Yarrowia lipolytica: one gene and its partner. The protein of the gene in region 1 binds, or shares a complex with, the protein of each later gene. Links are inferred from orthologs where the notes say so. Each region holds a gene or a part of one and is shown on either strand. Other genes may lie near its edges.

What was found.
Region 2: the proteins of YALI1_F06670g (region 1) and YALI1_D35394g are in contact, whole or in part, in a cryo-EM structure (PDB 6V8O), measured with the Saccharomyces cerevisiae proteins. The link is inferred for Yarrowia lipolytica from reciprocal best matches to the Saccharomyces cerevisiae genes RSC8 and RSC58. Residues at the interface, in NP_116695.3 of Saccharomyces cerevisiae: Thr229, Asn233, Val234, Tyr235, Asp236, Gln239, Phe241, Ala243, Glu247, His255, Tyr258, Ile259, His261, Cys263, Glu266, Ser267, Ile268, Asn269, Val270, Arg271, Tyr272, His273, Asn274, Leu275, Arg276, Ala277, Arg278, Asp279, Ser284, Phe292; in NP_013133.1 of Saccharomyces cerevisiae: Arg137, Asp167, Leu172, Asp173, Ile176, Ser177, Tyr178, Asp179, Phe180, Ile181, Lys182, Ile183, Ser184, Met185, Asn186, Tyr187, Thr188, Val189, Pro190, Ile191, Leu232, Pro233, Thr235, Asp236, Ile237, Glu238, Glu240, Ile387, Ile388, Lys389.

What each region holds. Positions count from the first base shown.
Region 1 is NC_090775.1:664,810-668,897, reverse strand, and holds YALI1_F06670g (uncharacterized protein), read left to right. Parts: upstream 1-1,823; coding exon 1,824-3,542; downstream 3,543-4,088.
Region 2 is NC_090773.1:3,537,431-3,541,342, reverse strand, and holds YALI1_D35394g (uncharacterized protein), read left to right. Parts: upstream 1-1,965; coding exon 1,966-3,363; downstream 3,364-3,912. Other genes in the region: YALI1_D35398g (uncharacterized protein), read right to left, coding at 100-1,590; YALI1_D35356g (uncharacterized protein), read right to left, coding at 3,845-3,912. UniProt on the Saccharomyces cerevisiae protein: Component of the chromatin structure-remodeling complex (RSC), which is involved in transcription regulation and nucleosome positioning. RSC is responsible for the transfer of a histone octamer from a nucleosome core particle to naked DNA.

The DNA of each region.
Region 1 (4,088 bases):
GGAGAGTTTGGGTCACGTGATATCGTTCGTCATGTGTAGATGAACCGGTGTCGTTGAGCTGGGTTGAGCTGGTGTGACTTTTTTCTCCTATTACCCCGATTTTCTTCCGATTTCGATTCTGAAACGTTTTTAGTTGCAAGTGGCCATCCTGAACCCATTTTGCGTGTTTCCTTTCGTGATCTCGTTTTCGGCGTTCTGTCTGAGGGACCTCAGGTTTGACAAGACTATGGAAAGGTCAAGTTGGATGGATGAGACCAGCAACAGTCGAGTGTTTGTACAGAATGTTGAGTGCCATTCAGCACAACCTGTATCCGGTTCACGATATCCATCTTGTGTCGCTTTGCAGGCAGTGCCCAAGTCGGGTCAGGTCATGGTTAATCACTGGTTTTCAGGTCATTGGTCGCAAGTCTCAATCCACTGTTCTCATTGGTTCGACCAGCTGAAGAACTGAGGACATGACTGGATAATACGTGGTCCATGCCTGTGTGTGGATGCCATGGTACATTCGTATCAGCTTCATCACCAGGCATTGTGGCTCTATTCTGCAAACGAAACGAACAAGTGCTCAAATACATGCAGGTGGACTCTGTTGTCCATTCGTATTCTTGCTGTTCATCAACGAAACATATCTTTCTTCTTCGGTTGACGCGGTTTCAACCTCTTCCAGCCATTCTATCAGACTACCATTGGGTGATACACTCGCTCTGGATTACTGGCCATAGATGTCTTCTTGTCGAGAGCAACTTGCGTCGAGAGCTATACATGCTTACAAGACACCTTTCATCACTCTGAGGCCCAAGCACTCTCGGTCTCCTGGCAAGATATCGTCTTCGGACGTGGATCTCGGTGCGAAGATGAGCGACAAGCATACATTTGGCTCAAAACTGGCTCAAAACTGGCTTGTAACTAACTCGGTTGCCCACGCAGCTGTGTTAGCTCTGTGCGGAAGTTACACCGATCATTTGAGGAGGACAAGTTGATGGTTTCCAACCCATAGGGACCGTGTCTATACTGTGCTGTATTCAGTTGCTCTAAGTACTCTCATGCTTGAATAGACCGAGTGACGTTTCCAAAGAGACGGTTTTAGACGGTTTTAGACGGCCTCAGACATGCACGAGGCGCCAGAGTCTCATTTCCACCCTCATGATGCGGTTTCACACAGTCTTTTCAACAATCACCCTGCTAGCAGCAACCCATTCTCTCTTCAAGGGGCTATTTCCAGACCAGCAAATCGTCGCCTTTTTGACCGAGTCTCCTCGTTGACGGACCTGCTCTGGAAACAACCCCTTCCCTTCCTTCTGCCGGCTCTCCTGAGCCCGAGTTTTCTTAGCCAGCTCCATAACGCTTGCCTGTCGCTGGTAGACGGATGATTCATAGTACAGTATTAATCAATGCATTCTTCAATCAGAGTGAGTAGTATGGAGAACGTCGCCCGAGAAGTTGCATTAGGGACATCAGAAGGGACATATCTGCCTGAAGACACATACCCTCACGTCAATCATGGTCACGCCAGTGCTCTCTAGTCGATTCGGAAGAAAAAGAGGAAAAAACACTGCAGCTTGGATCGCTCCTTGTATCGCTCAATTGAGTGACTGAAACCGTTCATCGAAAGGTCCAAGCAAGTGGCTATAGTCATAATCTGACTCCATTACGTACTCTCACGTGATCTTATCGTCAATAAATCACAATGATTTATCCCGGAATCGAACCCACAACCTCACCCACATCTCACCCTTCACTCCCGGGTAAAACCTAGTTGACACCTTCCTCCCACACCGTAGATTGGTGATATCACCTACAGCACGTTTCCAGCACAGTACAAAATGAGCGACAAGAGCGTAGAAGCCGGAGCGGACGCGGCCATGACCGACGTGAACGGCGATGGGTCGATTGGCGCCCAGACCGCCAAGATTGAGGCCAACGACGCCGATCTGAAGCCCGACAGCAGTGAGGTTGGAGGCGCGCACAACGACACGGCTCAAACAGCGACCAAGTCCGACAAGAAAGACGACACAAAGCCCAGCGACAAGGAGGAGTCCGTGGAGGGCGGCGGGGACGACGCGGGAGATGCGATTTCGGCCGAAGAGGCGAAGCTCGAGGAAAAGGCTCGGGCGTATCTGGCGGAACAAACACAACGGGTGGTGATTCCGTCGTTTGCCACGTGGTTCGACCGCAACGGCATCCACGACATTGAACGCAAGTCGCTGCCGGAGTTTTTCTCGGGCGTGTCGCGCACAAAGTCGCCGGCCATCTACACGCAGTACCGCAATTTCATGGTCGACACGTTCCGTCTGAACCCCGTCGAATACCTGACCTTCACCGCCTGCCGACGCAACCTCGCCGGCGACGTCGGCACCCTGCTGCGGGTCCACTCGTTTCTGGAACAGTGGGGCCTGATCAACTACCAGGTGGACCCCGACACCCGGCCGTCTCTGATGGGCCCCCAGTTTACGGGCCACTTTAAGGTGATGGTCGATGGCCCCCGGGGACTCCAGCCTTTTGAACCTCCGGCAAAGAGCCTGCTCTCCGAGGGCCAGGAGGACCCCGAAAAGGGAACCGACGGCGACTCCACCTACGTTGCGACCTCGACTGAGCTTGACGACTCCACTCCCCCCTCAATCAACATGGAGATTCGACGAAACATCTACTCGTCGGCCGCCGACGCCGCGTCGCTGCAGGACGAAAATACAAAGTCGCAGAACGTGCTCGCGTCCAAGGCGTACCACTGCCAGACCACCGGCGGTGACGTATCGGTGGTGCGGTACCACAACCTGCGGTCCAAGCAGGCGGTGGCGCAACTCGCGTTCGAACAGGGCCTGTTCCCGGCCACCCAGCAGGCGTCTGACTTTGTGCGCATCAAAAACTCGACGGCCCAGGGCCCCTGGACCGACGAGGAAACCCTCTTGCTTCTGGAAGGCGTGGAGATGTTTGAGGACGACTGGGACAGCATAAGCGACCATGTCGGCACCCGTCAGCGTGACGCCTGCGTCATCAAGTTCATCCAGATGCCCATTGAAGACGCATACCTGGTGAAGCGAGAAAAGGGCGTCAAGCGGGCCCATTCCGACTCCAACAAGTCCACGGTGCTGGCATCCGCCATCAAAAAGGTTCTCAAGGAAGGAGACGGAGAGCTAATGAGCAAGCGGGCGGAGGAGCTAGCTGGCCAGGCCGTCTCCGACGCCTCCACGCTCGTTTCGTCGCTGGCCGAAACCCAGATAGCCAAAATCGAGCTGAAAATGTCCCGGTTCGACCAGCTGGAGGAAACGGTGCGGCTGGAGCGCCAAGAGATTGAAAAGATGCGGCAGCAGCTGTACCTGGACCGTTTGTCGTTGAAGAAGCAGGCCGACAGTGTGTTGGCCAAGCTCAAGGAGGCGACCCAGCTTGGGGGCGACGAGGCGGTGGCGGTGGCAGCAGAGGCGGCTCGAATCGCCGCTCGCAACCCCAAGGTGAGCGTCGTTGAGGAGCGCGATGAGGGCGAGGTGCGAGAGAAGAAGCCGGTGTCATTGGGAGGACCTGAGTTGTTCAAGTTCTGGAGTGCCTAGACGGGCATTTCCTTAGGGGCTTGTCCAGAAGGCTTGTCCGGAAGAGTCTTGACGAGAGTGATCTTGTCGGGACGGTCCTCGTCGCATTTTCGTCTCGACACGACTTGGAATTGACAGCCTGCTCGACATACCCACAACCACCCTAACCCAAAGACGGAGATGTATGTATTTGTAATTGTATTGCTTAGTATGGATATAGATTGGTAACCACAACAGCATGGCCGGTTGTCGTGATCTCTTTGTCCCATTAAATCATCACCAACGTGGAGTGGTTTGGATGGACTTTGGACTACCTAAATTGACAATTCGGGATAATGCTACTTGTATGAGGATATGGAGTGTGTCATTGAAACTTGCGAGGCTCCAGCTTTCGATTGGTGCTGCTTTTATTGAAATCTGACCAATATTGAGAATTCATGATTTTCTAACGAGATACTTGAAAAAGCAGCAGTTTGAAAAGATCCAGAAGTAGTCGGTTTTTTACATACAAAAGCCCAGGAGTAGCTGTTTAGTTTTCTGCGGATTACTAAGTAATTAGTCATCACA
Region 2 (3,912 bases), on another chromosome or scaffold:
GTCGATTCAAATGAATTATGTATCTATGTCGTATTGGTATTGTATACATGTGCCCGAAAGAGAAGGCACCCAGTGATTTATAGCCTTGTTCATTTGTAATTACTCCCCCCAGGTAGGAGCTTGTCCTCCTTCATTCCAAGCTGGACCCTCGTTATCATTAACTACCCTCACCTTGACTGGTCTAGAGCTCTCCTCTCCGTCTGGATCGGGCCGCTTCATCACCAGCTTAAGAGAAGGAGCTGCATCCTTGTGTTTGGTGACCACCACCTGGTAGAGAGAGTAGCTGCGTGCCTGGCAGCCAATGCAGTTGTGTAGAATTTCGTGGCAGAAGACGTCACAGTCGATGCAAAAATGAGAGTGGCAGGTGGGACACTCATACCGTGACGTCATGGAGCCATCGGCTTGGATGTTTTTTGCATCTCTTGCCACCACTGGGAACTTGGATTGACAGCCTGCACAGAATTCAGACTTGTGTGCGTTCTTGCAGGGGACTTCAATAAATGGAGCCAGGGGGAAAAGATGGTGATACGATCTGGCCAGATGGGTGGACAGAATAAGTGTGAGACCACAGCAGGGGCAGACTGTGGGGAGTGAAGACACCTTGACCTTACATTGCGGACAGACGTATCCACCTTGTGTGAGAGCTGCATCGGAGGCCGAAAGAGAGGGAGCTGCTTCTGAAACCTTTGAAGGAAATCCCATGAGCACCAGGGATGCTGGATTGGCGCTCTGGCTTTGTTGTGACTCTGCCAAGGGTGTAGTAGCCTCGTCCATGAGCTCCTGGAAATGCTGTTCGTTCAGCACGACACCATAGTATGAAGCGTCTCCAAAGTTGGTTTTGACACACAGTTCCTTGCAGATCGCCACCTGCGCCGCCAGACCAATGACTCGGGCTCGGACCTTGTCAATAACGAGCTTGTCGATGGTTACGTGGATATCTCCTGGGTCAGCCGACAACAAGGCACCCAGAACAACCAGTACCTCCTTAGTGCAATGAGAAGGCACATGGAAAAGCAGACCTCGAGCCATTTCAAGAGCATTTTGAAGAGATGGATCACCTTGAGGCTCGAGCTTTTTGGCTGCCGTCAGGGCGTTAATGTGGTCGTTGGGGTTACTGCCCAATGTCGATATGCTGATTGCCTGTCCGTTTCTCATGCCCAGAATTCCGAGCTGAGAAATGGGATTCTGGTCGAAGAAGTTGGTTACGAATTCAATGGCATGGTTAATGACAAATTGGTACCTGTTTGGTCTGAGATCGGACTCTTTCATGGCAAACGAAAAGTCGAGCACCAAAATCAGGTTTCGAATGATACCTCTCTGGAACGGAGTTGCATCCTTGATGTGTCGTTTCTTTCTTGCTTCCACAAGACCCGCCACCGAGCCTGCCAGCGATCCTCCCTCGTCCTCTTGCACGACGTCCCAAGATCTATGGTATTCGTCTTCCCATGAGTATCCTCCATTGGCCATCTTCATGTTCTCCACCGAGCCTCCGGCGCCCTTGGGGGCCTGGTTTCGTCGCGACCGCCGAGGGGCACCCTGGTACTCGTCTCCACTAATGTTTTCAATGTAGTCGTCGTCCGAGTCGTCCATGGTGTGCTGAGATGTGTACTCGTACCCGTACTAGATAAGAGTATGAAGAGATGAGTGTTGTATGCATGCTTGCCATACAACGGAAGAAGCAGGACGTCGATACAAGGCGGCATTAGAATAGGTTTAAAGATTTGAAAGCAATTCTAAGTGGATTATTCGCCGTCGAAACAAATTTACAGAAATTAATATAGCCACTCCACTTCTTCTCCGCCATCTCATACACCGCTGTCTCTTGGCTGGGTCACATGACGAAGCTAATTTTTGGAGTATGGTTTCTGTCATACTCTAGTCAACACCCACACGTCGGAACGTTCATCACGTCGAACAAAAATCACCACACATCTCATCGAACCCAGACACCAACACAAAGACAACATGTCGCTCATACAAGACATTTTGGACGTGTTGCTAGCCGACGCCGTCGGAAAGACTGTGCTCTCCACAAAGGCAGTGCCCCAGGTGTCGCCTCAGTCCACAAACCTGTCGGTGCTTGCAAGCTATGCCCAACACAACGTTGCTGATCTGACCTCGGTATCCGAGAAGGCGTATGATTCGGTGCGCAACTTGTACGTGGACGTCAAGACCGCAGCCGTCCAGGCTCTGGTGGCGCTGCCAATTGGCTCGGAGAAGTATCTGGAGGTGGACCGGTTCTTCAAGTTTGCCGCAGCCCTCATCATCCGAGAAGGCTCGCGGATGGACCTGTTTGGAGGCAAGGACCCCGAGGATGTGGTACCCGAGGACGTGACGGAGTTCGAGGAGGAAATCGTGGCCGACTACGCCGACTTGACTGCGGACTTGGAGTCGTGGAGCGCAGAATCGTTTCTGGTCATGGGCCAGAATGGACCTCTGTTTTCGACGTTGTCCACCAAATCGGCCATCGACCCGCGCCCAAGTATAACCCCGGGCGCGTTCCAGGTAACCAACGTACTGCCACGTACCCGGTCGGTTCCGGCCTACCAACTGGGCTACCTCACACCTGCCGTGTCGCGACTTCCACACCCAGCCCTGCCTCCGACAGAGATGATGACGCACTTTGTGCACCCCAACGGCTCCGAGTTGGCGCCCAGCCGGTTCCTGCGGATGGACGCAAACTCGTCCTTTGCCCCCACTAGCGACAGTGGTAAGGCCGTCTACGACCCCGCTTCAACCGGAGCTCTGTGGTACGAGAAGGTTGGGCGACTGCGAGAAAGCGCCATCGACGACGCTCTTGGAAAGAACGACACCAAAAAGGAGGATACTAACGACGTGGAGATGAATGACGCGACTGAGGCTAAGGTGGAGGGACAGGAAGAGGAAGAGGAGAAGGGGGGACAGGGAGAGGAAGAGGAAGACCTCCAGCCTCTGTTTAGAGATGAAGATGTCGACCCCTCCAAGGATCTGCCCATGGAAGACATTCTCCAATGGCACCCTCGAAACTTCATTGACGACGACGAGTTCGAAGCCATCAAAACTGGCACCGAGCTCGAGTTTGTCAGCAGACTCATGCTCCAACTGCAACAACTCCAGGCAGACCGTTTGGCCACACCTGACATACCTCCACCAGTGTCGTTTGAGGAGCGACGGCTTGCAATGAAAATCGAGGGTGTGTTGGGACGGCTGCTGCAATCCACCGAGGGCATCGACATTGCTAACTCCAAGATCAAGCCTTCCACTAACATCCCTGCTCTCAAAACAAACTATCTGGGTGTTTTGCCGGCCCCTGAACCTCCAAAGCCCATTTCTTCCGTCGGACGTCTACCTTCTGGTCCCAAGACCCGACGGGCTAAGCGGTAGATGGGTGAGATAGAACGGTGATATTTGGGGGAGACGCCATGGCGTGACTCCTGGCACGGGCTGCCAGGACCTGTATTAGTTAGGATAATGTATGTTTAGTAATTTTCCGGGGTGTGAAACAATCTAAATGCTGTCAGCTAGAATAGGTCAAGATCGACGGGTAGCATCACAAGTACATACTGTACTGTATGTACTTGTACTTGTACGTACTTGTAGTTGTATGTAAATTAAGTAGTTGATTCTACACGCTTCTCAAGTTGGCTCTATTACAATGCTGTAACTAGACTAATACGTATGTTAAGAAGTGGATGTGTGTAAGGAGCATTTAATGTCGAAATAACTGGTTTAAGGAAGCGCACAACGCTTTTGTACAGCCATGAGCTCCACTGTCATCTCTGTATACGAATCACGCTACGGTACTACTCGTAGCTATATCTCGTTGTTACTCATTCATATATTATAATAAAAGTGATCAACTCCGTTATAGAGGAACGTCAGCACCCATGGCAATAGAGATGATCAAAAACAAGTTAAGAGCAGAGACCATAC